4 linked regions of the Diceros bicornis minor genome follow. The protein of the gene in region 3 purifies or fractionates together with the protein of the main gene of each other region. This does not show direct contact. Links are inferred from orthologs where the notes say so. Each region holds a gene or a part of one and is shown on either strand. Other genes may lie near its edges. The genes, in order: MAP3K14, HTRA2, BIRC2 and BCL10.

Region 1 (7,842 bases), on a different chromosome or scaffold from region 3:
AATGAGAGATGCTGGCAGGAGACCAGAGGGTAGAAGGTGGAAGGAAAGGAGAATCTTCATCCCTCTTGGTCTTGAGTGGTGTCTGTGGAAGTGGTTGTGTCTTTTCTGTGGTTCCAACTCCTTCCAAGTGACCCTGGCCCCCAGCCACTGATTACACTGCTTCCCCCTCAAGTCCCTCCAACCCAGGGGTAGCAGTGGATTCCCGGCCACCTCGCCCTCTCTGGCTGGGCTTCCCGGCTCTTCCACCCTCCATGTAACCAATTCCTTGCATTAAATTCCAGGTTTAAAAAACTCAGAATGAGTTCTGCTTCCCTGGTTGGGCCTTGCCTGATACAGTAACTCTATCCATCCTCTCATCACTCTCATCACCTGGAATGACTTACGTCCTCATTTGTAGTCACTTATTCAAGGTCTGGCCACCCACTAGACTAGAAGCTCCCTAAGGGTAGGGACTAGTCTGGAGGCTTTGCGCTCCCTCCGCAGGGCCTGATGCAGTAGGCGCTCAGAGCATCATATTTGTCCCTGGCCGCAGATGAGACCTGAGATAAGGTCACTTGACTAGGAGGCAATTAGTGGGTGTCCATGGAGAGAAGGGGTGGTGGGCAGAAACCAGACTGCAAGGGGTACATGCAAGTGGGGAATGAAGCAGACACCAGGAGTACCAAGAAGTTCGGGAGTTGAGAGGGGAAAGAAAGTTGGGTCAACAGTGTAGGAGAAAGCCAGGATAGGGGAAGGGCTTTTGTTTTTTTTTCTTAATTTGTCTGTTTTTAGGCTGGGGAGATGATCACATTAGGAGGTTGAGAGGAAGAAGCTAAACGGGAGAAGTCGAAGGGCAGGAGATGCAGGGACATCGGAGGTGGAACACATGACCTGGGTGGTCTCTTGGGAGGATTACATCCACCAGCAGGGTTGAGGACAGTATGGAGAGGAGACTGGAGGCAGGGACGCGAGTTAGGAGGTGATCACCAATCAGGAAGTGAGAAGAATTTGAATCAAGCCTTAACCCAGGGCTCCCTAAGAAGGCTCCAAAGTTGGGAGAGGTCTCAGAAGGTATGTCCAGGACCTGCTCTGGTAAGGTCGTTTTTGCCAGGGAGACCCCCACCCAGGCAGCTCCGTCCTTTGTGGAGATCAGCACCTCTCCTCCTCACTCACATCACCATGGCACCACCTCTTCTCCAATAGCTCTGTGGTTCCTTGTAGCCCTTTCCATCTCCCTACGTGGGGCACAGAATTGGTCGGGGGCAGTCAGGGTCCAGAATCTAGTAAACGTTTAACAACAAGCTCGGGGGCGGGTAGCCCTGCCTTATACCGTTTGCCAATTTCCACGGTGTAAATACTCCCACCATATCCAGTTTCAAGCTACCAACGTGAGGTCACCAATGGCACAGTAGGAAGAGAGCTCCAGCACATCACTGCCTGCAACCATTCCCTCCCCTGCCTCCATGGCCCCTCCACAGACTCTGGACTGGGCGGAAGCAATGGGGCAGGTCCAAGCCTGGGAGGGCAGCGACAGCACCACAGCTGCAGCCTCAGGCAGACCCCTGATAGGGAAAGTAAAACTGCCTCTCCTCCAGGAACACCCACCCACAGCCCCCAGTCATCTCTGATCTCAGCATCTCATCTGAGTTCTTCTCAAGTATAACTACAGGATCTCACAGAAATCTGGACCTGCGATCCACAGACACTCAGATGATTCACAAGCCACTTTCTCACTAGACGTGGCTGGACATCATGAACTGGGCTGACTAAGGCAATAAAAACCAGAATATAATTTCCTTTCTTCCAAAGCAAACAGAAAAGCAAAAATGATCCAAGGATAGCATTCTCTCACTGATGCACAAAATGCACTCACTCTTCACCACACTTCTACAGAACTGATGGGCAACTGGCTCCTTATGGCCCAAAGTCTCTTTACAGAGTCCTGCACGCAGGAGGGCAGGGGCCCTGGGGTCCGCCTGGTTTGAATCCCAGGTCTTCTATTACAGCAAAGTGACTTTGAGCAAGTTACTTCTCTCTGAGCCTCAGTTTGCTCATCTGTGAAATGGGATGATAAGTAAGAGATACTTACTCTATGGGGTTAGACTGCAAGAGTTCTCAACTGGGGGCAATTTTGGAGACATCTGGCAATGTCTAGAGACATTTTTTGTTGTCACAACTGAGTGCAGGGGCCTAGTTACTGGCGTCTAGTGAGCAGAGGCCAGAATGCTGTTAACCATCCTACAATGCATATGACAGCCCTCCACAACAAATGAATTATCCAACCCAAAATGTCAATAGTGCAAGGTTGAAAAACCCTGGGCTAGAGGGAATATTCAGTGAGGTTATGCACACAAAGCACTTAGAAGTGTCTGATTTACTTTTTGTAAGCTCTCAAAAAACAGAAGCTGCTATTCTTTTTGGAAGAGCACAGTCTAACCCTCCTATTTCCAGACTTGAACCCTTGGGGTGGGATATGGAAATCCTTGAGTGCTGAGAGCCTGGCTCACTGCTCCAGGTGTGAGTCACCCTGTAAATGTCAATTTATTTTATTTAAAACAGAGCTGAGGCTGCACAAATGACTCAGGGCTAGAAGCTTTCCCAGGTTGTCGTGACTTAACTGGCTCGGCTGAGAGGAAGTAATTTTGCCCTGAAGCTCTCCTTCCAGAAGGTGCAAGCATTTTAAGGCTCCACAGTGCTTACTCCAGTGGGTGTTGTGTTGTTTCTCACCTCACCCTACACACAGTGGGGCTTGGAAAGACCTGAGAAAAGCAGCTGAAACTTCGAGGCCCTGCTTGTCCCAAACACCGTCCTCACTAGTGTACGGTGGTTTGTTTCTCCTCTGCAGCCTGATGTGAAATTCCTTCTCACGAGTCACAGTTTTGGGTCAACACAGCCCACTCTCTCCCACTAATACACATCTGTGTTCACGGATGGATTTAAAGACAGATAATCTTGATGGGGGGGGGGCGGCATGGAGGTGAACCAGGACCAGAGAAGTCTCAAGGGAAGCTGGGTAAAGTGTGTGGGCATTGGCTGTCCTAAAGAAGGAATGGTGAGAGAGGGAGAAGGCAAAGGCGAGCCAGGGAGTGTCTGCAGACTCTGGGCCCATGCCCACGACTTTCCTGAGAAGTGGTGTGCCCAGAGGCAAACAGGTGGTGGGAGAGGCTACAGGCTTGCTGATACCGACCTGTAACCCACCATCTGGCCAAGTTCCGCCTCTCCCTGAGTCACTGAAATGAAAAACCCTGGCGTTGGAAGGAGCTTTAGGGTTCACTAGCTTCTTTCTTGCCCACCATCTCCCAAGCCAGCCAGCGGCAGAGCCAGTTTATGCATCAGAGACCATCCAGCTTCAAGCATGCGCACCATGGGGGCCACAACCTCAAATGCTTCAGGGGCCAGACGGACGACATAAGGTTAAGAGGTTGAGTGTAAAACAGGGGTAGGGGCTGTGGGGAACTGCAGGCTCTGCGCTAAGGCATTCAAACTCAGTTTTAAAAAAAACATTGGGCCAGCCAAACAAAACATACCTATGACCTGTGTGAGTGGGTGAGGCCCTTAGGTTGTGAGTTTCCCACCTCTGCCTAAATAAATGGTCTTACCTATCCCCCAACAACGGAGATGTCTGTTGGGTGCAGATCTCCAAAAATAGTTACCAAAAACTGTCTGAAGAGTGATCCTGAGCAGGTGGCCTGGCCTTTGTTCAAACACTGCCAGAGATGAGATGATCCTTACTACTCAAGACAGCCTGGGATGCGACCTGCCTACCCCACCACTGAAACCAGTTACTACACCTGCCTGCCGTGGACCACTGATGAAGGTGTGGTGCCCAGGTACGTGCACATCTTTTATTTTGCCAACCTTTAAAGTTTGGAATTTTTTATTACAAATCAAATACACGCTCACTGTAGAAACGATGGCAAGGGCAGATAAACGAAAGTTAGAAAAGAAAAAATGTCCATACCTCCCCTAACCGCCCAGCCCCCCGCCTCCCATCAGAAAGAAGCACTGTTGACACCTTAGTGCGTATTCAGACTCCAGGTCCTTTTTTTGCATAGGTAAAGCTCTCGTCTTTCCGGCTGTGTAGTACTCGCACCACGTTGCTTCTCCGGCTGTGGGAAGGGGGTGCACCATGCCATCCGCGCGCCTTCTCATCAGACCTCGGTTTCCACACACAGGTGTGACCTGTGTAGGCCTTTGGCTCCCCAAGCTTCTCGAGCAGGCACCAGAACCTGTCTTACTCGTCCTCAGGGACTTTACAGTGCTAGGGACATAGTAAGTGCTCAATAAAGGTGATTCTAACCGTCCCCCCGCCTGCTTACGCCGCCACAGCCTCAGGCAAAGAGGAAGCAGAACCAGACCCTAGAGACAGCGCCTCGCCGTCTCCAAGGTAACCGAAGTTCGAACCTGGGGAGTGCCCACGCATGCGCACACTCGCCCTTCCCTCCCGTAACCTCCAGAAGAACGCAACCCGTAAAAAGACTGCCACAGCCGAGCGCGCATGTGTGGTTACACCTACACTCGGGTCGCCTCCGCCATCTGTCAATCCGTCCGCCCAGCAATCTCTTCCCTATAAACATCGTCCGGAAGTAGTGCCCATTTCTGAAAACGAGACCTCGTTAACCAATCGTTGCTAGGGGCGGTGCGCCGGGTCTAGCCAGGACGCGCTCTCATTGGTTATGTTGGAAGAGTGGGCGGGGCCAAAGGTCGAGGTGCGGCCACAGCAAGGAGGCGCGAAGCGAGGCAAATTTGCAGCCGCCGGGGGAGGCGTGGCCCCGGGGGAGGCCGGGAAGGCAGTGAGGGGGCGGGACCCGAGTCCGGGGCGGGGCGACCGTGGGGCGGGGCGACCGTCGGCCCAGAGAGCAGCGGTCGGCGACCGGCGGCGGGAGATCGCGGGTGAGGGGAGCGCAGCGCTCGCTGGTTGGGGAGATCGGCGCTCGGCCGGTAGGTGACGGGGCGGGACCCCGGGCCCGGAGCGGGGATGGGTCGCCCCTCAGCCCGGGGCCGGGCTGCGGCCTGGCCCGCCGCCCCAGAATGGGGGGTTCGGCGGCGCGGCCGGTCGGACCCACTCGCGCTCGAGCCCTCGGCCCTGGCGGCCGGCAGCCGGCGCGCCCTCACGCACGCTGCCAGGGCCACGGTCGCACGCCGTGCTCGCCGCACCCCCGCAGGCCACACGCTAGCCCGGAGCGCGCGCAGGGGTGCCCTGCTTCCCCTTCCCCGACATCCCCATTCCCCGGCGCTCCCTGCCTCACCAGCAGGCCTGCCTCTCCTGCTCCGGTCCCCGGGTGCCCCCAGGAGGGGGCCTCGTCTCGGCACGGGACGGAAGGTGTCTAGTGCTCAAGTGCGCCCGGTCTGTGCGCTCTCCCACCTGCCCTGGCAGTGAAACCCTCTGGCCTTGCCTGGGAAGTTCTCGGGTCACACCCCGAGGCGGGGAGAAGGAGGAGAGCCTGCCCTTGGCACCCAACGGGGTAGTGCTGGCCACTCGCAGCATCCTCTTCCTTCCCGTGACCCCTCTGGAATTCTTCGGTCCGCTCCACTCAGGACTTGATCTGTCGGCTCAGATATAATATTCCCACCTTGGAAGCCCATCGTGACCCTGGCAGCCTGCAGCCACCCAGCACCAGGGAGAAAGAGGCCACTTGTACAGTGCAGAGAGTCCCACCTGCCTCCTTGATGTTGAGTGACTTCAGAAAAAGCGTTTCCTTCTTGATTGAAGTTAAAGTGTTGCTCTCAGTCCTAAAGGGTGGACTGGGGAATGAGAGTGAGGAGGAGAGGATGAGTGGAGAAAAGATCCAGAAGTTAGTGGTGTAATTGGCAAAATTATTTTTGTTAACTGGAGACGATGAACACCAGTGACTTGATTAGGACTCTAAAAGCAAGTAAAGTTAAAAGATGAGAGGTGGGGCCTAATACAAAATAGCAGTCTGAAGTTTATTCCAGGAAAAATGTTGAAAACCCCTTGACTAGAAACATGGTCTTTCTGAAAGATTAGAAGGAGATAGTGTCTTCACATTAGTGATGTGTTTTTTACTTAGTATCTTCATACCTGTAACCTTTTTCCTTCAGATGTCTGTGTGATGGGATAGATAATATTGTCCTATTTTATAGGTGAGGCACCTGGGGCAGGAGGGGAGAGGGAGGTATATATCTTGCCTAATGCCTCATAGCTAGGACTCAGGATGAGGACTCCAGCCTGGGCCACTGGAGTCTTGTCCAGGCTCCTTCCCCTGGACCAGGACCACATTATGGGACTTAGATGCAGGAAGGAGGGAGAAGTGTTTGGTGTGATATTTATGCTCTTAACATAAGAGGACAGGTGCTTGTCTTGCTTACGATGTGTTTGGACTTACTCTTGGTGTTTTCGAAGTGATGTCAAAGTGAGTTCTTTTGGTGCAGCCATGCCAGACCTCTAAGTTTTTCAGACACCTTTAGGACATCCTCATTTATTTTGAAGGGTGTGGTGAACTTCTCAGAAGGTCTCAAAATAAAAGTAATAGTCTCTGACTTTAATTTTAGAAATACTTGCCCAGGTATACATTCCAGCACTTTTGTGAAATCGGACAGCCATAAGCTGCCAAACTGTAGGTCATTTTCTGACCGTTTTCAGATTATAGGAAGCAGTTCTGAAGGGGGTTTTTTGCCCCTGGTGTTGCCTGTTAGAGTTTGTGGGAGAGGCACCCCAGACAGAGACCCTGCCAAACGAGCCTTCATCTATTAAACAAAAATGTCTGGTTGGCCGTTCCGCCTCAACAGATGGAGGTTTGGTTCCTCATTTTGGTTCTCCTGTTGAACACTGACTCCTTTGTGATCTGCTTGGAGTGTTTGTATATCATTTAATGTTCAGAAGCAGGCTCGCCCTGATTGGTTGGTTGTCTAACTCCAGGCAACTGTTGTGATTTTTTTGGTGGGTGATAACAGTTCATCGTGGCCGAGGTCTGGTGAGAGATCTGTAGAGATGCGAAAGAGGTAAAGCTTCATCCAGGGTTGTTTTCTTCATTGTTGGCATCCTCTTAAGAGTGTCCTGTCACTTTGGCCTGTGAAGCCACTTTTAATTTCCTATTTTTTTCCTGTCTCAATGGATAGCACATGAGCTTTCCTAATGGGCTCCCTGCCTTGATGAAGAGCTGACAGACTCATGGTGGTTGGCTTGACAGATGTTCTTTCTGGGAGGATAGTTAAGAGATCTTAAAACCAAATTCAGTCCTGAATTAAAAGTATAAGTCAGCTCGATACACATATAGGCAGCATATTTGTACCAATGGCTTTTATCATCTCAAAGCTGTTTTTTTTTTTCCTGGCAAAAGGTTAAAATGCAACTAAAATTCTGCTTTCATGATTAATAAGTCACTACCGCAGTTGTGTCTGATGCTTCCTGTTTGCCCCATTTTTGTATTTCAGTTAAACTGGAAACATCTGAGCATTATGGGCACTTTTGATGGCACCAGTGTGAAATTGGCGGGAAGGGGGACAATTCCTGTCAGTGGATTTGGGAAACTCTAAGGATAAGCCAGCCCCTCTGGCCTCTGCACACCCAGATCCTCAGGAAGGGAAAGGAGTGGGGGTTGAGTCTCTTCAAGGGGTGGGTGAGCATTTAAAGTGATGCACGTGTGAAGGCTTTGCATTTACTTGGTGATGCTGACTGAAATGTTGAAAGCAGTAGATTAGAAATGGAAGGCCAAATATAGGGCAAACTGTGTAGTAGAACATTTCAGTTGAGCTGAGCAAGACATTGAAGTATGTCAGATATGGGGTCTTTAGTTCTGGGCTTGTCTTACTACCTGAGTGACAATGCAGAGAAAAGATGTTTTTCCTCAGTGGCCTGTGTGCCCGTCTTTGTATTCTAGTTTAAAAGATCCTCTTCCCTTC
Region 2 (7,264 bases), on a different chromosome or scaffold from region 3:
TTCAGACTCCCCAGGGCTTGGGCCAGACTCTTCTGCCAGCCCGAGAAGCTGAGAGGCCATGGTGGCTGACTGGCAGGACCTACAGAAGGCAGGGCAGTCATTAAGGCCTCATATTTGGTGGCTAACACCATCCTCCCACCTCAGCCCTGATCCCTAACCTGTACCCTCACGTGATAATGTACTGGAGTCCATCTTTCCCAACATTTCTTGCCTGCCAGGAAATAGTGGAGATTTGAGTCTCCAAGTAAGGGAGTATCAAAAGTGAACTATTACCCTGTAGTCAGATAGTAAAAATCCTGTGACTACCACAGGGGTCCTCAGGGGCAGCAGGAATTATATGAGACCTGGTACCCTGTGGGGAGGTCCCCAGGGGAAAAGGCTAAAGAATAAGAGGAGGAGGGGGGCAGGAACCAAGGAACAGGGCCACAAGGACCCTGGATTCAAACCTGCTTGCAGCTCTGAGACGTGTCAGGATGGCAGCCAGTTCTAGACCCACCCAGGCAGTTACCACCAACCCTGACCCGCATGAAGTACAAAGGTAAATTCTGGCTCCACCCTGGGGCTTGGCTCAAACCCTGAACCCTAAAGACTGGTTTTGGGGTGGGGCCATTTGCTCCACCTTATTTAACCTAGTCAGGAGCCTATGGAAAAAGGCTCCAACCACCACACTGAGCATGTGTGAACTTTACAGACACCTGTGTACTGTGCTCGTTAGTGAAAAGCATCCTGGGATTTGCAGTTTTGCAGCTGTTTCTTCACAAATTAGGGCTCAACACCCAAGCTAGGGTCCAGTTGTTCCTGAGTCTTCAGTTCAGTTACAGTTCCTTAATATCACTCATCTCTTGACACGAGGAGGTGATTTCAGACAGTTCCATTCAGACCACTCCCCGACAAACTCATCCCCCCCAACCAATGGAAAAGGAACTTGCTCAGGGGGATTTTGACACCCAGAGAGGCAACAGAGACCTTGAGTGAAAACCCTGAATTTAATGTGATACTGGGGGGAGCCCCATCCCTCCCTTTTTACCACCCACTCATCCGGCCTGTCGTGAGTTGGGTAAGGGCTGCCCCCAGTCTCCGTCCTGCGGCTCTGGGTGCCATCTTGTGCTCAGTCAGCCTCCTGGGCCTGTCTCTCTGTGAATCGCCTACAGGACATAAGAAGACATTGTGTGGACTTTGCCATATTGGCCCCATAATTAGCTCCCTTCTCCAACCTGCCCCTTACTACCCATTGTCCTCTAAGCCCCTCACCTTCTTGCGTATTCATATAGTGCCTGCTTGCGCTCCTGTAGGCTCTCCTGCCGGGCCCAGGAGGACTTGGCAAATGTTAGGGCTGTGGGCTGAGGGGTCACCAGGCCAGAGCTGGGGAACTGAGGTGATCACAATGTCAGAGGGCTTGCGAAGTCATCATCATTAAACACGCATCGAATGCCTACTTTACAAGAGAGGCACTGTGCTAGGGTCTCAGGATCGAAAAAGAGACATCAGGGCTAGGGAGTATTTAGACTGTTCCATCCCACCCCAAGTCTTGGACCTGACCATTTTCTGGGTCTCACCTTGGGGGCTGAGGCTGTGGGAAGCGACTGGGTCTCTTCAGCAATGTCTTCAGGCATGAAAGCTACAGCTCCCTCAAGCAAATTAGTGATAGTCAAGTCTACACAGCCAGTCCTGGCTGGGGAGAAGGGAAGAGAGGAGAGGGGAGTCTGTTTCTCTGCTCACCTTCTCCCCTCACCACCCACTGTTCCTTTCTGTGCCTGTCTTCTTGTGTGAGGCTACCCTTTCCCATACCCAGGTCTCTCTGGATGACACCCAGTGGTACATGGGGTAAAACCTCCTTGACTCTCTGAGCCAGAGCTGCCAGCTGCACATCAGGAGAAGGGCCAGGGGAGGGAGGGAAAGAAGGCTGGGCTGCAAAAAAGAAATCCGAAATATGGTGAGTGGAGAACTAGGAGGAAGGAGAGGCTGACTAGCACAGGAATAGGGGGAAATCACAGTAAGCTAAAAAAACCCAAAAAGCTTTGTGTACAGAGACCACCCACCTGACTGGGGGCGCAATCTGGGGTGTCTTTGTCGCTTCATGTGCTCTGCTTTGTCTGCTGGAGTGAGTCGTGTCCCTGTCTGGCCCAATTCTTTGGCCACCAGCTAGGGAGAATTGGAAGGTTGGAAGTGTCAAGGTTTCAAGCCTTCCTCCCTCACCACCTAAGGAAAGACCCCACCTCCACCCCGCCTGTGTATCCTACCACCTGTTGTACACGGAGGGCAAACTCCTCATTCCCCTCCCCCAGCTGGCGATGAACAGGACGGAGCCACCTGCAAAAAACAATCCAGGAACATCTTGGGGACACCCGGGGTAGAGGCTGTCACCTTCTCCTCACTTTGATACTTTTCATGGAAAAGTGGTGGTGCGAGTGGGGAGATAGTCAATACTTTGTATTGCTTCTATGGTGCAACTTGATATTAAAAGATCTGCAAATGGATGGGGCAGAGGCAACTACTTCCTTGACCTTGAGGTGAGTGTCTCCCAGCCACCATAAAGTGAGGACAGTTAATACCTTACTTGATACACCGTGAAAGGGACGAAAAGCGACCACAGCAATTCTGAGACCCAGGAGGCATCTGACACCGTCTGAGGGGAGGGCATGAAGTGAGGTCTTCATGAAGCCAGGGCCAGGAGTGGGAAACTTCTGCTCCAAGACCCAGAGATTCCCTGTCCAACACGCACTCACCACAGAGACTAGGGGTCTCTGGACTCGCAGGGTAAGAGGTTGTACCACATCCTGGATAGAAAATGGCCAGGAACTAGAAGAGAGAAGAGAGGGTAAGATGGCATTCCAGCCACTCCAGGCAGCAGTTCATACCTGACTTAAAACAGGAACTGTCAAACTGTACAAGTAGATAAATGGAGAATAAAGAATTTCCGGGTAAAGAACTAAAACAGGACAGGAAGGAAATGAACTAGGAATGGAGTGGGTAGGGCTGAAGAAGGTTGTTAAAACCCAAGGGCCCCCAAGCCTGACCACCCACCACCCAGCTGGACACTGCTACCTATGCTCACCCACCTGAAGCGCAGAAGCCCCTCCCGGCCATTGGTAGCCTCTTCCTCGGGAAACAGCAGCAGAGGGGTGGGGGGAAGCCTCGTGGAAGCACAGAATCTCTTGAGTGACTCCACCAACTCCCCCTGCCCATCCACCTCCATGAACCCCCGAGACCAGCACACAAAGCTGGGGGGACTATTGAGTAGAGGCTGGGAACGGGAGAAAAGAAAGCAAAGAGAAAAGAATGTTGGGAAGTGAGAAAAACTGACATATGAAGTAGAGAAGCGGGATTAGGAGTAAGGCTCAGTAGCTTGTGGTCCCCAAGGAAAACCCGGGCGGGCAGAGGGGCAAAGGGGAGCCAAGAGCTGGGCCCCAGAGAACCGCCCCGTGGCGCTCTCGGCTTCGCCCCCCACTCACGGTGCTACAGCTGGTGAGCAGATTGACTACATTGTGATCGAAAGGTGTCACGTGGTTGGAAATGAGGACCCTGACGCGGTGATCCCGGAGTCCAGAGTCCTCCTGCCGGGCCACAAGCCCCAGCACCGCACACATGGTCCGCACCACGAACCTAGGGACACAGGCAGTGGTGACTGCACAGCCTCGGGCCGGACCCAGCCCTGACCCTCCCCGAGCGCCTGGGTCAGCACCTGCGAAGGACGCTCTCTGGTAGTGCGCAGCTGACCAGGAAGACGTGGATCCCAAGAAAGAGGCGCAGGACGAGGAGGCAGAACCCGACAGGAGCGTAGAGCAGCAGCGCGAGGAGCAGGAAGCCGTCACCCGGGAGCCTAGGGGCGAGAAGCGGGGTGACTGGCCGCCGAAGGCCGAGTGGACACGGGAGCCGGCCACTTCCCGCCGGGACTCTTACCGGTGCGAGTCGAAGAGCCGCTCCGGCCCCGGCGCCGGGGGAGGTTCCATCGCTAATACTTTAGGGGTGTCGGGCCCCTTCCACCGCCGCCGCCATCTTCACGCCCCGCCGCAGGGGCTCCTGGGAAGGCGGAGTCTTAGGGCATCGTCCCAGGGTGCCCGGACCCGAAATCCTGAGGCGCCCCGGAAGGGCTAGCGGTCCCAGCATGCCTCGCGGGCCCTCGGGCCACCTCAGAACTTGAGTCCTGCGGGGACCACAATTCCCGACAGTCGCGGGGCGGGGGCGGAGCCGGCCTCCTGGAATCCTGGGTCCCGGCGTGCACTTCTGGAGGACTTCAGGTACCGGCGTGCCCCGCGTCCCGCTGTCCGCCCGCTCGGGTCCAGGGCGCCGCCTCCGTGTAGGGCGGGCGAGGAGGCAGCTGAGGCGGAGCTGATGGCTGCACTGAGGGCGGGGCAGGGTGCAGGCTGGAGCCTACGGGGATGGCGGGCTTTGGGGGGGGTTCGCTGGGGGAAGGGACCCCCGTTGACCCCTGACCTCCGGGCCCTGCTGACGTCAGGTACTCCTGACCCTCGGGCCCGAGTGACTTATGGGACCCCCAGTCTCCGGGCCCGGTTGTCTGTGGGGGTCCCTGAACAACGGACATGTCTGACATCGGGGACTTCAGATTCCCGAGCACAGCTGACTGCGGGAACCCCAGACCCCCGGACGCGGGAGGACTCAGGGACCCCTGGAACCCGTCTGCGCGTGTGGCTGGCGGTGGCGCTGGGCGCCGGGGGGGCAGTGCTCTTGTTGTTGTGGCGCGGGGGTCGGGGTCCTCCGGCCGTCCTCGCCTCGGTCCTCGGCTCGCCGCCCACCTCTCCCCGGAGCCAGTACAACTTCATCGCAGACGTGGTGGAGAAGACGGCACCTGCCGTGGTTTATATCGAGATCTTGGGCCGGTAATGGTGGGGTAGACCAGGAGGCATGGAAGCCGCGGGCTAGAGGGCGGGGGGAGCAGGAGAGGTCCGAGCCCCCTCACATCCGTGCTTTCCCCGCATCCCAGGCACCCTTTCTCTGGCCGCGAAGTCCCTATCTCGAATGGCTCCGGATTCGTGGTGGCTGCCGACGGGCTCATCGTTACCAACGCCCATGTGGTGGCTGATCGGCGCCGAGTCCGTGTGAGGCTGCCTAGCGGCGACACGTATGAGGCAGTGGTCACAGCTGTGGATCCCGTCGCAGACATTGCCACGCTGAGGATTCAGACTAAGGTGGGCGTCCGGCCAGGCCGGGTCTGTTTGGGGCTGTGAATTTGCTCGTATCTCCAGATGACAGCTCTCTTGTACCCATTCTCCCTTAGGAGCCTCTCCCCACACTGCCCCTGGGACGCTCAGCTGATGTCCGGCAAGGGGAGTTTGTTGTTGCCATGGGAAGTCCCTTTGCACTGCAGAACACAATCACATCTGGCATCGTCAGCTCTGCTCAGCGTCCAGCCAGAGACCTGGGCCTCCCCCAAACCAATGTGGAATACATCCAGACTGATGCTGCCATTGATGTGCGTCCTGATGTGACAGAAATGACAAACTAGGTTGGGGGAGAGGAGAGATACTGTGTGGTGTAGGCACCAACTGTGTTTGATGGTGGATAAGGCTATACACAGAGGTTGGGCTGCAAAAAACGTGGCCACTCATTTATGGGCTGGGAAAGGAGAGAATTTGGAGAAAGTGCGGACATCCTGATTATGCCCCCAGGCATAGAGTCCCTGGATCTCTTCCATATTTTCTTCTTGTCCTGCAGTTTGGAAACTCTGGAGGTCCCCTGGTTAACCTGGTGAGTGGGATATCCTTCTTTCCAAGAATCCCTGCCCCAGGTCAGTGTGGAATGGTAGGTTTTCCCTAATTCAATAATGTTTGGTCAAGTTTCTGAGCAGTCTCTTATAGGCTTTCTCCCAGAATCCAACCTGATCTCCCCAATTCCCCAACACTCCCAGCTACGCTTGTTAAGGTACCCCCATCTCCTACTGTTTGTTGGGGTTAGGGAATAGTGGGCTCTGTCCCTGCAGGATGGGGAAGTGATTGGGGTGAATACCATGAAGGTCACAGCTGGGATCTCCTTTGCCATCCCTTCTGATCGCCTGCGAGAGTTTCTGCATCGTGGAGAAAAGAAGAGTGAGTCTGGCTTAGGGGGGAAGGGGCATTCATTGGACCTTACTGGAGAAGGGTTTATTGGGAGGATGGGGAAGGGAAGGAAGGATATAGCTGGGTGGGGCTCATTTGTCCCTCTATCACAGATTCTCATCTTGGAATCAGTGGGTCCCAGCGCCGCTACATTGGGGTGATGATGCTGACCCTGACTCCCAGGTATGAGCTTTAGGGGTAGTGACATGTAGGACCACCAGTATACTCGGTGGTGGGCAGCTGGCATTTCTGTTGAGCTTTGTTTTATTCTATCAATTTTATCTTTATCTAAGATGAGTTGCCTCACATGTGGAGCTATCAGAAGAGCTGTCCTCTCTCATCATCTTGACTTTCTCATCCCACTCCATTTTGCACACTTGCCACCAGATTTATTTTATCTCATTACTGCTTTGACCTTCAATCCATTAACCTGGTGTTTAGGGGCCATTTTCCATTTGTCTCTAATTCAACCTTCCTACGTGAATATACTCTGTTCCAGCCAACCTGATTTCCTACTCCCATGTTTTTATTTATGTTGTTCTTGTTTTTATAGTTAAATGTCAGACCCATCTTTCTAGGCTCAGCTTAAGTTCTACTCCCTCCTTAAAGCTTCTCTTAGGATTCTAGACTGACCTTAGTGCTATTGATTTAACACTGTGTCATTTGGAATTAATTATGTTTTATATACATGTCCTGTTTCCTAACTGCCAGAAGCAGAAAGTGAATTGCCTTTGTATCTGGAGTACCCAGTGCATGCCCTGTCCATACAGCTGTCAGTGTGTTGATGAGAGATTTGAGGTGAATCCAAGATGGGGAGAGTGCCTTGGTGTGGTTAACCAGGTGATCTATGTCCCTTCAGCATCCTTGCTGAGCTACAGCTTCGAGAACCAAGCTTTCCTGATGTTCAGCATGGTGTGCTCATCCATAAAGTCATCCTGGACTCCCCTGCACACCGGTGAGGGAGAGACTGCAGTGGGAGGTGCGGATGGGTGAGGTGTGCATGTGCCTTTGAACTGGGCTGGCTACTCCCTCCTTTCTCTCTTTGTCTGTCTTTCACCATAGGGCTGGTCTACGGCCAGGTGATGTGATCTTGGCTATTGGGGAGCAGCTGGTACAAAATGCTGAAGATATTTATGAAGCTGTTCGAACCCAATCCCAGCTGGCAGTGCGGATCCGGCGGGGACCGGAAACACTGACCTTATATGTGACCC
Region 3 (7,288 bases):
ACATTCTGTAGAGTTCACATGAAAAGTCATATTTCATTTTCTGTTTGTTGCCGACTGTCCAACTTGATAAGACCGTGCTATCTTCCATTATACTCTTAATTTTTTGATACGAGGGACCTGGGACAAGTCTTTGGGAGGTAGTTTTGTGCATGAGTGATTTTACTTTTGAATGGCTAAAAACCTTCACATGAAATTTCTCATCTCTTCACACTAGATTTTTACCATAAAGAATCAAATAAGCTCCTACTTATGTAAAACTCACTAAACCTTCTTTACTGGACTTACACCTGAGTTTACACTCAGGTAGGATGAATCTCTCCCCTCAATTACCAAGATACTATTTAGTACTCTTTGGGATTATATTAACTCTTTTAGGTAACTTAAGTGTTATGTGCTTCTTATTTGGTGCAATACTAACCTAATGGCCTGAATTAAGTTGATATACTTCTAAAAATAAGTTAAAACTCCTTGATTTTTCAAGTGGGTTTATATTCCCAAAATTCTAAACAACTGTAGAATACCTAAGTTATACCTTTAATTTGCTTCTGATTACAGCCTACAAAGCCTAGATGTCAAGCCAATTACTAATTATGCTACAAGAGGAAAAATCTATATTCAAGATTCTTTCCCTACAAGTACTTTAATATGATATATAAAAAAAACCTTGTTTTATTCTAGTAAACAAGAACTAAAGTCTTTGTATGGTCACATTATCGAAAGGCTAATTTCACATAGCTTATCATCATAGTATTTACTTAAGTGGGTTATATTAGCTTCAGCTAACAACTTTTGGGGACGTCAACACCCACAAGCTTTATTGAACTTATGCTCATTATAGTGTGTATGATATCAAATGAAATTAATTTTGCTTAAAGCCCACAAACTGCTAAATCTTCCATCTTTGTTAAATATTGTCTATATTTGTTTCCATTTCCTGCAGCATCATTATGTTGCCTTTCTTCCTAACTGCATATCACTTTATTACACTTGATCAACTGAAAGTATTTTCTCCATAAACTTAACTAGTTAACCATAAAATTGCCACAGCTGAAACTTTTTACACTCCATTTAAAAATTAAATCATCTGTCTTTCACTTAAGGTCATGCATCTATTATACACTCATTTTGTAATTAAAGATAAATCAATTTATCAAGATACAGCTTGTCCTTTTTAGTGTTAATACAAATGCCTAACAAAATATTGCACTACCAAGAGAATTACTGCTTCTGCAAAATGTACCAGTAATTATCCCTAGTAGCATTCTTTCTGAAAACCCTATTCATACACAAAATTACACTCCACAGAATTCAAACTATATCCCTTTATAAAGTTTCTGGGTCTCCATAACGGGATTTATTACTGCAGGGGGAAAAAAGAGGGGGAAAAAGTAGACTCTTCAGAGCTGTAAATCTGAAAAGAAAAAACAAAAGCTATTTTAGAAAACTATCTTCATGTTAAATAGAACTTACACACTCTTCAATTTATTCAGTGAAGTCTTAAAAATGATTTACACTTTAGATAATACCACATCTTAATTCCAGCAATTTGTCTCCAAAACTTTCTAAATGGAAAAGCTCTTAATTCAAATAAATGCCATATACCCCCCTTAGCACTAACTATACATTTTTTTTTAAACGTACAACTTTGAAGACAGATGGACATTTCCAAAGAGGAAAGTATTTTGTCCTTGGTCTCCTCCCCTTTTCTGGTGACAACTTTTAACGGTTTAAAGATGATATCTCTGGCAGTTTGCTAATAGCAAAAGGGGACAGCGGTGAAAAAGAGAGACTACATCCCATCAGCAACAGTACAGCAATAATTAGACAGTGATGTTATTTTTGAAAGTCACATCTTTCCAGGACTAGGCAAACTGACCAGTAAGCGTAAAATGCATCAGAAACTCATTAATATAAACCCTTAAACTCTACAACTCCCAAGCCACAACCACAGAAAGCAACTCGAAAACAAAACATAGCACAATGGGAAAAACACTGGCCTTGGGAACGTGACCACTGCACAAATGCTTTCGTTCCACCAGGACTTGATATCATATCTTTAAATTTGTATACACAAACACCGTACTGTGGATTCTGCCATCTTCATGCAAACTGTAGCCGGGTGGGGGGATAGATTGCAAGGGAAAAGAAGAGAAACTGTGGGATTTACCCACTGATTTCCCGGAGTTACTTCTCTCAATACACAACAGACTCCTGAAGTGGCGGAGCACAGCTCGAACTCTGAAACGTGAGATGTGGCCGCCACACACCTGTCTTCGTTTCAACATATTAAATTAAAGGAACACCGAGGGTTAAATTAAATTCCTGCAAAACCTCTATGAGAAAACATCTTGGTCAAAGTCCAAGGGCCGAAAAGTGGGCGGCGGCCAGGGCGGGCGTGCAAACAGGTCAATTTTTATCTCCGACTTCGAGTCTTGGAGCTGAAACTTCCGAATTAAAAAGCCTCGGGGAGAATAGAGAGAGCCAGTGGAGAGAGCTCACCGCGACCCGCGCCCCCCGGCCCCAGGGGCCCAGGGCCTGCCCTCCCTGGCCCAGCCGCAGCTTCGGGGAAGCGGGTCCCCGCGCGGCCCGGGCCCGGGCCCGGAAGGAGCTGCACTCACCGCAGTGCCGGCGCAGCAAACACGGAAACAGCGCGGCTGCCCGGCGACCTCCACAGACCCAGAGCAACGGCGCCGACAGAAGACAGGCCCGCCGGCTCCGGTCCGGCGCTCCCGAAGCCCCCCGCCCAAGCAGGGCCCACGCAGACGCACGGTGACGTCAGCGCGCCTGGCCCGGCCCCGCGTCACCGCCGCTCGAGGGCGCCGGGGAGTCTGCGGTCCGAGAGCGGGAGCGAGGGCGCGTCCGCCTGCGGGAAGTTGGTCAGCCCGCGGGGCGAGGCGCGAGCGTCCACATCATCTCGGTGTTTCGATTTTTAATCTTGCAGTTTGAGTAACGTTTCCTTCTCTCTCAGTCCCTGACATTCTCCTGACGGGGACGTGGCAAACGGGGAGCCGTGGAGTTTGAATCTTGGGAAACCCTGCGGAAACGCCCCAGTGCCGGCGGTTTTGCGCCTCTTCCTCCGCGTCACCTCAGAGTTATGATCCAGCATCTGGCAAAATTCCTCCGGGGTGACACCTCCGCTCGTCTTAGATGAGTGCACTTGAAGATGAAGTCAACCTGGTGGCATTTTTGCTTCAATTAAGTAAACAGTTGCAACCGTTTTAAACAGTTGTAACCGTTTTGCCTCAGAGCGCAGCTGCGTAGCATCAACATTACACAGCCGGCAGTGGAAATGAAAAGCCAAGTGGTTGGAAAGTAGAACAGCGTCAGAAGATTAATTTTGAAGGCTTGATTTTATCATCTCTTGAGGATTATATATCTATTTTATAATCAACCAGTGTATCTTTTATTTATAAACATTGTTTTTAAACTTTCGGTTTTCTGTTCTGGAGACATATGCACTAACGAAAAAGTGTCTTGTTGCAAAACTCATCGCTAGCAACATGAACGGTGTTTTAGGCCAGGCTTCACTCCCGGGTTTTTCTGAATGTGACTAAAATGGAATGTGTACATTCATATATATGCGTGTGTATACATAAATCGTGCGTGAACCACAGAGGAGCCCACTTCTCAATGAAATTTTTAAATAGTTCACTGATAGAAAAATTCTAAGTAAAAAATCTTGGTGTTACTAGTTGTGGGCGTTTTGTGTCCCTCCTCTTTAGTAGTGCCGAAATGCAGAGGCGTGCAGTGTGTGTTTGTTGTATTGCAGGGAAGGAATTTTTTAATTTACTTGTGTGAAGACACTCTTTGTCAATGAAATCAGATGCTTTCTTCTCGCAGGGGAACTCCAGGGGACAAACATTTCAAAAACTTCCAAATAACAAGCCACTTAATTAGGCAGCCAGGGGAATTCCAAGACCCTGAACCATTTCCCATTTCCTGTCCCTGTCATTTCTGCCTGCCAGTCAGTCACAGAACAGGAGATCTTCTGTTCCAATGATAATAATAAAAAGAAAGTATTTGTAGCAGTTTGTGATACAGAGAAAAGAAATGCCATGGCTCCCAATGACTAAAAACTTCCAAATATGCACATGAATTTTGATAGTTCAGTATTTAGTCCAAGTCACTCTTTCTCGGAAAGTTACAGAATCTTCCTTATATATGTGGGAAAATACATATAGCAAGAATTGTTCATTCCGAGTTCAAGATTATTTCTCTTTTTCAGTTCTTGTCCTGACCAAAAAGTAAGATAATGAATATACTTCAGTATTGGGGAAAATTCGAATTTCAAAAACCCAAAGGCCTTAGACATTTTCCCAAAAAAGTATGTAATAACATTCAAGTATAATATTACTTTATAACTTTTAATCTTGTATAACCTTGTAGTTTGGCGTTAAATCTATTCAATTAATTTTTTTCATATTTCAAGTGTAGAATTAGGTTGCCATCCTAATATTTTTCACATTTTTGTAGAAAAAATATTTATAGGATCCAAGACAATTTTGAGGAACATAAATAAGATGGAGGGGACTTGTCCACCAGATAACGAGTTATTTAATAAAGGCATGGTAATTAAGACAGTATTGTATTAACACAAGGATGGACAAATAAACAAAGGGACAAGTTAAAGAACCCGGAAAAAAGACATATATATATGAATTTGATATATGACATTGATATTATGTATTAGAGAGAAAAGGATTAACTAGTCAATAAGTAATGTCAAATAACTGATTATTCTAATAAAAAATAAAATTAGATCATGACCTTAAACTATTAAAAAAATTCCTGGTGAATAAAAACCCAAAAAGTGAACAGCTATCATTATCATCTGAGGATTTAAACGTATCTTGTGAGTTGTAATCCATTACAGTTATTGTCATTATCGGTGCCCAAAGTTGTTTAATCTCAGGCCAATGGGAGCTTATTCATATTGGCTCCTGAGTCCTTTCAACATGGCCCTAGTAGTCTTTGATTGCTTTTCAGGCTGGTTTTGTACATTTCTTACCCCATACCTGTAGTAAGCCATTTATTCCAAGTGCCCTGTTTCCTTTCATGGGAAATAGTATCTGAAGACCATAATCTGAATGTTTGTGGTGCTAATTATTAGAGTTGTATTGTTTTTATAACCTATTCCATGGACAGAGTTGGGTAATATGGTCTTGTTTTGTTGTAGTTTTTTTTTTTCCCTAATAAAATGCATCATGGGGCCGGCCCCGTGGCTTGGTGGTTAAGTGCGCACGCTGCGATGCTGGTGGCCCGGGTTCGGATCCCGGGTGCGCATCGAGGCACCACTTCTCCGTTCATCCTGAGGCCGAGTCTCACATACAGCAACTAGGAGGATGTGCAGCTATGACGCACAAATATCCACTGGGGCTTTGGGGGGAAAAAATAAAATAAATAAAATCTTTAAAAAAAAAAAAAAAAAAAAGTTTTAAAAAAAAAAAAAAAAATGCATCATGAACTCTTCCAATTCAAATTCAGGAATTCAAGGTTTTATTTAACCTCATTGATCGTACATCTGTGACTTTCTCCCTTCGCACTGAAAAATCCTTGTTCTCACCTTTACTACTCCCTTCCTGCTCCGTAGGTAATGATTTAAACATTTTTTATGGTTCATTTTTTCATTTTAAAAATATAGTTAATTATATATGTTTATCCATAGCTCCCTTTTTCTTAGATATATGATAGCGTTCTTTTTCTCATCTTTTTTCACTTAATAATAAATTCTGGTGATCACTCAATACTAGTATATATAGAGAGATATTCCTCATTTCTGCACAGTACTCCACTGTGTAGATGTAGCATATATTCAACTAGTACCATAATGTATTCAACTACTTCCCTATTGATGGACATCTGGGTGGTGTCCAATATTTTGCTATTACAAACAGTGATGTAATGATAAACATGGACATACATCTTATTTTAGGATATATTCCCAGAAGTTGGATTGTTAGGTCAAATGGTAAATTCATATGTAATTTTGCTAGATATAGCCAAATACCCCTCCCGCTCCATGGGAATGTTAGCATTTTACAATCCAGCCAGCAATATATGTAAGTTCCTTTTTTCTGTACAGCTTCACCAGGTGAGTATGTTGTCAAACTTTTGGATTTTTGCCAGTCTATCAGATGGATATTTCAGCATAGCTTTAATTTCTTTGTTATGAATGAGATTGAAAATCTTTTCATATGCATCAATTGCATATGTAACATTTTATATATTTTTTTAAAATTAAGCATAAAAGAATATTAGGATTGGTTATGTGGTATTGTTAAAGGAAAAATTATTCTGACACTTGTTAAAATGTCAGTAAGTAAGGAACAACAGAAGGAAGACTTTATTCAGGACTATCGCATGCAGTAGGGGAAAGAGATCAGGCTCAACTCTGAATACATCAAAGATGGCTGAGGATTTATAGCCAACCAGCAGAATGAGGGGAGTCAGTGGATGTATAATTACTTAGTGGAGACATCAAGGGCAGGGGGATTCTTGCTGAATATAGGCCGAGGGCTTATATATCAAAGGTGGAAGATAAGGAATTTGGTCAGATATCAAGGGTGGGGGCATTCTCACTAACCTGACTTATAGCAGAACTGTTGCTAAGATCAGGATAGGTGGGCCAAAAGTGGGGTGGGAGGTGACAAATGGAGAAGGCACTGACTTAAATCTGCATAACAAACTTTACCCTGTTTACCATGCTTTTCCTGGTAACCTCCCCATAACTGGCCTCCCCACACTCTTGATTTTGTCTTTAGCTGAAGATGGTATTTAAGCCTGTGGCTTAATTCACCTCAGGGAGTTACTCATCTTTCCTTGGGTATCTCCCACGTATAAATGAGGTATGCATATTAAACTTCTGTTTGTTTTTCTCTCGTTAATCTGTCTTTTATTACAGGGATCTCAGCTAAGAACTCAGACGGGTAGAGAGAAATTTTTTTCTCCCGTATGTCAGTATATACTGAAGGGGAGGAAAAATCTCTTCCTCTGCCCATCTTAGGTTCTCCAGCTGGGGTCCTGTAAATTAGACTGGCCAAAGATAGATTATCAAGAGAAAAACAAACAGAAGTTTATTAATATGTGCGTTGCACGTGTTCAAATGAGAACCCTCAGTGATGAGTAACCCAAAGTGGTGGTTAGAACTTAGGGTTTAAATACCAACAAAGGAAAAGAAGTTTTGGGCTTCCGGATAAGAGAGGCAAGTTATAGGAAGGTCACCAGGAAAAGTATGGTAAACAAATTGTTTTGAGAGGGATATCACCTAGATGGCAACATAGGTCATTCC
Region 4 (7,246 bases), on a different chromosome or scaffold from region 3:
CCACTTACTAATCTGATTCCACTCTCTTCCTCAACTCCCATACTCAATCCATCACCAAGTCCTATCATTTCTATTTCAAAAATGCATCTGGGGTTCTCCCGTTCCAACTATTTCCACCGCCCTCACCCTAATCTAAATCACCATCATCTCTCAATTACATCAATTCCAAGAGTCTCCTCACTGGCTTCCCTCTTCTCACTTTTGCTCTCCTCAGTCCATACAACAGACAGAGGGATCTTTAAAAAAATGTAACATCAATCTTCAATAGGTCCCCACTACACTTGAGGAAAAAAAACGAGCACTTTACCACCATCTGTAAGACCCTTCATGACCCGGCTCTAGTCCATCTTCCTAACTTCACCTCAGGGCACCCTATGCCTTTTTCCAATTTCCCCAAGTCATCAAGGCTTTACCTGTTTCAGGTCCTTTGCAAATTCTATTCTGCCCAGAATGCTCTTTCTCCAGTTCCGTCACATTCTTCAGGAACCAGTTTAAACGTAAGCTTCCCTGACCATCCTATCTCAAGTAGATTTCCTCTATTATTCTCTCAATACTTGTTTGTCTCCTTCATAGTACTTTCTATAACTTGTAATTATACATTTATTTGTTTTCAACCCTAATGATCTATATTTGAAGCAGGCAAGAATCAGGTATGTTTTGTTCTGTATACCTCGCACTTAGCAGAGTGTCAACTAGACAGTGTTTCAGATGGATGTAAAATTGATTGCACTTATTTTGTGATTTGTAATTACCATTTTACTTCTCTCTTCCTGCGCCACGCCCCCGCAGGAAATTGAGCTCTTCTCAAACTAGGATTCTCTCTTAGTTTTTAATTTTTGAACTATTAAAATCAACTACAGTATCAGCCTCACAGCAGCATGTAATTCATATTTATGAAACTGAACTAAATTCAATCAAAATAATGATGTAAATAAACAACTAGATGGGGCAGGTGAGGAGGAGGAGTACGGTGAAGAAGTGGGAGTTTCCAGGACATGTGGTGGTATACTATTCATTAAGACAGAGAATACAGCAGCAACTGCAAGAGCCTTGGGGGAGGGATGATAAAAAGTTTAATTTTAGACCAAGTGAGGGCTCTCAAGAATATAAAAGTGGATTTCCAGTAGATATTTGGAAATAAGTGCCTAGAGTTGAGAGAGAAGGAAGTCCAAATACGTAGATATTAAATTTAAAATCTTCTAAGGTCATAAACCATCCATGATTCCCCAAGGTTATGAATTTCTGATAGAGCTGTATAAATTGAAGTCATGGAGATGGATAATATCAATGAACTGATAGAAAAAAATAAAGGCCTGGAAGCCACTGTTCACATCTCTGTTGGTATATCCTCCCACTTGTAACCTTTCACTGCCTGTTTTACCAGCTGTAAAATGGGAATGACAATTATTAGAGGCTGCTGTAAAGTTTAAATGGGAACATTGTAAATTGTGTGACACAGCATCTGGAACATAGCAGGCCTAGCTCTCGAAGTTCATGGTTTTACTGGCACAAATCTTGAATAAGACAACACTCATTTATTCTATAGTTGTTATCAATGTCCCAGTCTTATCTCAACTAGAATGTAAAGCAGAGGCTTGATGGTCATTTTTTGTATCTTTCCAGGCCCAAGAACAGTACTTTCCATATGGTAAGTGCTCCATAAATATCTGCTGAATGAGGAAACTAAGGCACAGGTCCCAGTCATATCTAGTTTCCTTCTGCTAATGAGTCATACCAACTGTAATGATGAGTACAGTGTAATAAATCTTACAGGGGAGGGAAATGGGAGAGACTTGAAGTAAATGAACATTTAAAAAGCAGTTGTCTCGTCCAGTTCACAAAGGTGATTTTGTAAAAGTACCACAGTGTTAAGCCAGAACACACTTCTTGTTGAATTTCTACTTTTAATTTCAATTAATATGAAGTAGTTTAGTGGTACTCATATAGGTCTTATATGGCAAAACAAGTAACTAAAAGCAAAGGAAAAAGAGAAACAAGTCATACTGCAACAAAGCCATTCTTTAAGAATACTAAGATTTGTGCATTTCTGCAGTATCTAAGCAGAAGACCATAATTTAGCTTCTGAATATTTTCAACGCTTACTTCTAAATTAACTCTCGGCTACTTGTATTCATGCCCCCCCCTCAATTTAAATATGTGGGCGTTTGCTTACTAGGGGAATTCCAGGTTGTGCTTTCAGCTGTTGAGCTTCCCCCAACCCCCTTTGCAAAAAGTTTCACATATTTCCTCCACTGCTTAGGATCTTTTTATTGGTCCGGCTTTTGCTCCAGGTTGAGCCAGCAGCAAAGGAAATCAGACTCAAGGATGAACCCGAGCCGTCGATCCCTAACAACGCAGCTCCAAGGCGCAGCGGGGGAAAATCACCAGGGCACGGGCGAGGAGTGGGCGAGGAGCTGGCTGCGAAGAAGCGCTCCACTGAGCGAGGTTTCAGAAACCCTGGCCCTGCATGGAGTGATTTAAAACGTCGATTAACAGGTCACCGGGGGATCACTTCCACCAAGGTCCCTCGTATGCAGGGCTCGCTGCGGTCCCGCGACGCCTGGACCTTCCGCTCCTCCGACCCGCAGGCTCCTCGTCCGTCTCGGACTCGGACTCCGGGTTTCCGCTCTCCTGGTCCGCGGGGCTGCAGCCCACCCCCCCGCGCCCGCCCGCCGCGGCGCCTGGGCAAGGTTGTGCTACTCACGTCCTTCTTCACTTCAGTGAGGTCCTCCTCGGTGAGGGACGGCGCGGTGGGCTCCATGGCGGAGGCGGCAGATGGCGCTTCTTCCGGGTCGCGGAGCTCGGGCTGCGCCGCCCCGCCCAGGCTGGGGGCTTCGGCCTCCGGATGAGCGGGGAGACGGGGAGGTGGAGAAAGCCCAGAGGAAGAGGGCTGCCCCTTCGAAGACAGAGGGGATCCGTGGGTCAAACCGTGGCGCTTCCGGCTCTGCCCTTTAGGCCGACGACGCTGCAGACCTACGCGTCCCGACGCGGCGCTTGAGCAGCGCTCCACCTCCGCGCTAGAGCCTCAGGCGCAGGCACCGCCCCTCGGTGGGGCGGGGCCACCAGCAGAGCCCGCCCCATCTCTGCGGCAGCGAATCGGGGCGAGCCCGCGGGCCCAGACTTTCCCCGCCCCCCGGCCAGAGTCTTTCGGGAGTGGCTCCGCCCACAGCCTCCAGGTCGTTTGCATGTGGCCGCGGGTTGGCGTCTCCGAAAGGAATTATTTCCGTGGGTGGGACCGGTCGCTGCTCCGCCACCGGCACTCCCCGCCTTCGCAGACTGCTCGCTGGTGCAGTCCGGTCTCGGCTTGTCTGCACCTTTGAGTTCCTCCTCTTTTCCCAGACCCTGCCCTCCAATTTCCTGTTGCTGTGTTTGCCCACACAAGTTTTTAAATTATTTGGTCATGCACGCGCGCGCGCGCACACACACACACACACCCCCCCCACAAATACACAGCCTAACTACATTACAGAAACTTTGAAAAAGCACCTACAATCCCACCGCTTTAACACCTAGTTTAGCGTCTGCATACTTTTTGGTCACTGTTGATTGTAAACATACATATTTCCTTGTTTATTCATCTGTGTAATGATATATCTACCTCATAGAGCTGCTGTGAGAATTAAATATGTATATGTAAGGTTCTTAGAGGTACTTGGCACACAGTATGCAATCAATTTATTATTTATTATCTTGTCTTACTCAAACATTTATGGAGTCCTTATGAATATGTTCTAGGCATCTTATCCTGTAAGAGTTCTCCCATTTTGTTGGGGGAGACTGAAGGACAGACAATTATTCCCAGAATGGTATTCTAACAGAGGTGTATGCAAAGCAACATGAGTAAATGTGGGTGAGAAGCTTGAACAGAGCCCTGGCCCAACTGTTGTTTGGACAACATGCAAAATAACCGAGATGGTATTTGAAGCTACAAGGTAGATAAAAATGACAAGAGGACCAAAGACAAACTTGGGAACCCCAGCATTTAAGGGAAGGGAAACCAAGAGAATCAGAAAAGAACAGTGTTGCAAAAGCCACACCAATGAAGTTTTGATCACAACACAGGAATTCTGCTTTTAACACTAACATTGCATCATATATTTTTTTCCACCTTGATATGCCACATTTTTTCTGATTGCTTAATCTTCCATCCTTTTGGTACAACCCAATTTACTTAATCATTTGTTCTTTCATTTCACAAATAGTTATTGAATGTCAACTATATGCCAGACTCTGTTCTAGGGGAAACAGCTGTGAACAAAACAGATAAAAATCCCTTTCCTTCTGGAGTTTAAATTCTGGTGTCTTTGTGTTTGGGACAGGGCAGATAGATATTTGAAAAATGTAGTGTAAATTATTTGTTATGTTAGAAGATGATAAATGCTAAAAGGAAATATAATTCAGGGAAGTAGGATGAGGCTGTATGAAGTGGTAAAATTTAAAATATGCTGGTTAATGAAGACCTCACTGAAGAGGGGAGATTTGAGTTACTACTTGATGGAAATGAGGGAATGAGCCATGTGGACATAGGGAGAAAGAACATATGAGTAGACAGAAGAGCCAATGAAAAGCATCCATTGTGACTGGGAAGGAGATGAGGTCCTTGTGTGCCACTGTAAAAATTACTCTGACTTTGCTCTGAGTCATATTGGCTTACTCTGAGTCAGATGGGAAGCCACTGGAGGGTTCTGAGCAGAGAGGAGTGACATGATCCGATTTATGATTTGAAAAGGAGTACTTTCACTGTTGCCTTGAGGGGAAGGAGGATGGAAAAGGGGAGACCAGTTAGGGAGCTATGCCATAATCCAGCCCCAAAGGTGGTGGCTCAGACCAGGGTTGGTAGCAGTGAGGGTAGTGAGAAAATTTTGAAGAGAAGTGGGGAAGTGATTTCATTTCCTTTTAAAAGGATTACTCTGTCTGCTGAGTAGAGAGCAGACTGTAGGTGTAAGGGCGGAAGCAGAGAGCAGCTGGAGACTACCACAGAGATCCAGGCAAAGGTGAGGGTGGCATGATTGTGACAGGGGTGGGAGCAGTGGTGAGCACTCTCCCATAGTTACCTTAAGTTATTCCCAATTTTTCATTGTTATAAAAATTTTTTTCCTCTACATATTCCTCATTCTTTTTTCTTTTGAATTATCATTTGTTTTGCATAAATTCCCAGAAGCAGGAATACAGAGCACAAGGAAATGATGATTTTCTGTCTCTTCATGTATATTTCCATGGGTTGTCTCCAAAGTGTTGGTCCATCCGAGTGTGGGAATGAACTGTTTTGCCATAACCATACCAGCTCTGCTGGTGAAGGAGGGGATTCAGAACCCATCAGAGCAAAGTGATTTGAATGATGCCAATTTGACACACCCGTTTTGATCCAGCCATTATGAGGTTGCTGTTCTATTGTTGTTCTTTTTTTTTTTTGTGAGGAAGATCAGCCTTGAGCTAACATCTATTGCCAATCCTCCTCCTTTTTTTTCCCCCTTTTTCTCCCCAAAGCCCCAGTAGATAGTTGTATGTCATAGTTGCACATCCTTCTAGTTGCTGTATGTGGGACGCTGCCTCAGCATGGCTGGACACGTGATGTGTTGGTGCGCACCCAGGATCCTAATCCGGGCTGCCAGTAGCAGAGAACGTGCACTTAATCGATAAGCCACGGGGCCGGCCCCTATTATTGTTCTTTTTTAAACAAAACATTTCAAACACACTAAACTCTAAGGAAAAAATAATATTACAAACAACCTCTGTTCATTACCAAGATTTAACAAATATTGATACTTTGCCACATTTGCTTCTGCTATGGCTTTTGATTACCAAATATTAATGGGAGACATCTCTGATTCTTGAGCCTTCTTTCATTACCCTTGCTATACATCTGACTATTTCCTTGTTGTTGACCATCATTTCATTACTGATACCTCCAGCCTTCTTGCATCCTCAACATTCATTCCCTTATTTATTTATTCAACTAAAAAGTTAAATGTCTGCTATGTGTCAGAAGTAGGAGTTATGGAATGAGGATCAGGGATTGGGTGGGACTGGTGAGGAGCTTAGGAATTTTTAAAGCTGAAAGTTTAATATTTCATTTTTAAGGCCATGTCTCAATGTTTCCAAGTCAAACTATCTGTATCAAAGTAGCGATATCTGAATGCCACGTACCTAATCAGAGAGCTAGTTCCTGGTAGGCCTTGCAGTTCCCAATCCTGCTTTCTTTCTAGCGCATCGTACTTCCTTCATAAGCAAACTCATTTCCCCTTCTCTGCTAAATCACAGGGTCAGACTGTAATGAAGGTTGGGCATATTTTCAAGAAAATAGCCCTGCCCATTCTCTACCTTGCAATAATTCTCCCTCCCCCCACCTCCGTCCCCACCTCGACTTCTAGGTGCACCATCTCCCTCCTACGGTGAAATATGAGGCATCTGATAAATATGCTGTGAAGGATACAGTTAAGGTGCTACAAACATAAGGCAGCATATCATAGTGGCTAAGAATGAGGACGTTCGGCATCTGACAGACCTAGGCTGGTGTATTAGTTTCCCACGGCTGCCGTAACAAATTACCACAAACTGGGTGGCTTAAAACAAGAGAAATTTATTCTCACAGTTCTGGAGGCTGGAAGTCCAAAATTGGCAGGGCCGTGCTCTCTCTGAAGGCTCTAGGGAAGATCTTTCCTTGCCTCTTCCTAGCTTCTGGTGGCTGCCAGCACTCCTCGGCATTCCTTGGCTGGCGCAGCATAACTCCCATCTCTGCCTCCCTCTCCACCCGGCCTTCTTTTCTGCGTTCCTCCCATGTCTCTGTCTCCAAATTTCCTTCTTCTTATAAGGACACTAATTATTGGGTTTAGGGCCCGCTCTAATCCAGTATGACCTTATCTTAACTTGATTACCTCTGTAAAGACACTATTTTCAAATAAGGTCACATTGCAAGGTTCCAGTGGACGTGAATTTTGGGAAGACACTATTCAACTCGGTACAGTTGGAGTCTAGATTTGCCAGTTATTAGCTGTATGACCTGGGAACAATTAATAAGCATTCAGTAAAGATAGCTATTAGAGGAATGCAGAGGGAGGAAAGAGGAAACCATTTCTGACTGATAAGCCGACATGAAAGAGGTGTATTTAAACTGGGCTGGGGGATTTTAATAGGTGGCGCTTTAACTGCTGTTTAATGATTTATTTAAAACTTCCTGCCAGATACCAAGCATTGTATTGAGCAATGAATTCTATTCCAAGTAATTGTGAATGGTAAATTTCCTGTA

What was found.
Region 1: the proteins of BIRC2 (region 3) and MAP3K14 purify together in Homo sapiens (affinity purification with western blotting; 3 studies listed by BioGRID and IntAct, with this or other methods). This does not show direct contact. The link is inferred for Diceros bicornis minor from reciprocal best matches to the Homo sapiens genes BIRC2 and MAP3K14.
Region 2: the proteins of BIRC2 (region 3) and HTRA2 purify together in Homo sapiens (affinity purification with mass spectrometry; 4 studies listed by BioGRID and IntAct, counting the BioPlex papers as one, with this or other methods). This does not show direct contact. The link is inferred for Diceros bicornis minor from reciprocal best matches to the Homo sapiens genes BIRC2 and HTRA2.
Region 4: the proteins of BIRC2 (region 3) and BCL10 purify together in Homo sapiens (affinity purification with western blotting; 3 studies listed by BioGRID and IntAct, with this or other methods). This does not show direct contact. The link is inferred for Diceros bicornis minor from reciprocal best matches to the Homo sapiens genes BIRC2 and BCL10.

The regions. Positions count from the first base shown.
Region 1 is NC_080757.1:43,655,539-43,663,380, reverse strand, and holds the start of MAP3K14 (mitogen-activated protein kinase kinase kinase 14), read left to right. Parts: upstream 1-4,830; 5' UTR 4,831-4,920; intron 4,921-7,842.
Region 2 is NC_080751.1:14,486,789-14,494,052, reverse strand, and holds the start of HTRA2 (serine protease HTRA2, mitochondrial), read left to right. Parts: upstream 1-4,244; 5' UTR 4,245-4,332; coding exon 4,333-4,838; intron 4,839-4,942; coding exon 4,943-5,147; intron 5,148-5,236; coding exon 5,237-5,431; intron 5,432-5,673; coding exon 5,674-5,760; intron 5,761-5,938; coding exon 5,939-6,044; intron 6,045-6,166; coding exon 6,167-6,236; intron 6,237-6,912; coding exon 6,913-7,008; intron 7,009-7,115; coding exon 7,116-7,264. Other genes in the region: ATP-dependent RNA helicase DQX1, read right to left, coding at 1-60; lipid droplet-regulating VLDL assembly factor AUP1, read right to left, coding at 1,109-1,145, 1,252-1,370, 1,557-1,672, 1,789-1,908, 2,040-2,142, 2,241-2,310, 2,553-2,626, 2,727-2,799 and 4 more.
Region 3 is NC_080746.1:32,615,348-32,622,635, forward strand, and holds the start of BIRC2 (baculoviral IAP repeat-containing protein 2), read right to left. Parts: upstream 3,007-7,288; 5' UTR 2,619-3,006; intron 1,412-2,618; 5' UTR 152-1,411; coding exon 1-151. UniProt on the Homo sapiens protein: Multi-functional protein which regulates not only caspases and apoptosis, but also modulates inflammatory signaling and immunity, mitogenic kinase signaling, and cell proliferation, as well as cell invasion and metastasis.
Region 4 is NC_080743.1:21,671,972-21,679,217, forward strand, and holds the start of BCL10 (B-cell lymphoma/leukemia 10), read right to left. Parts: upstream 3,019-7,246; 5' UTR 2,762-3,018; coding exon 2,705-2,761; intron 1-2,704. UniProt on the Homo sapiens protein: Plays a key role in both adaptive and innate immune signaling by bridging CARD domain-containing proteins to immune activation.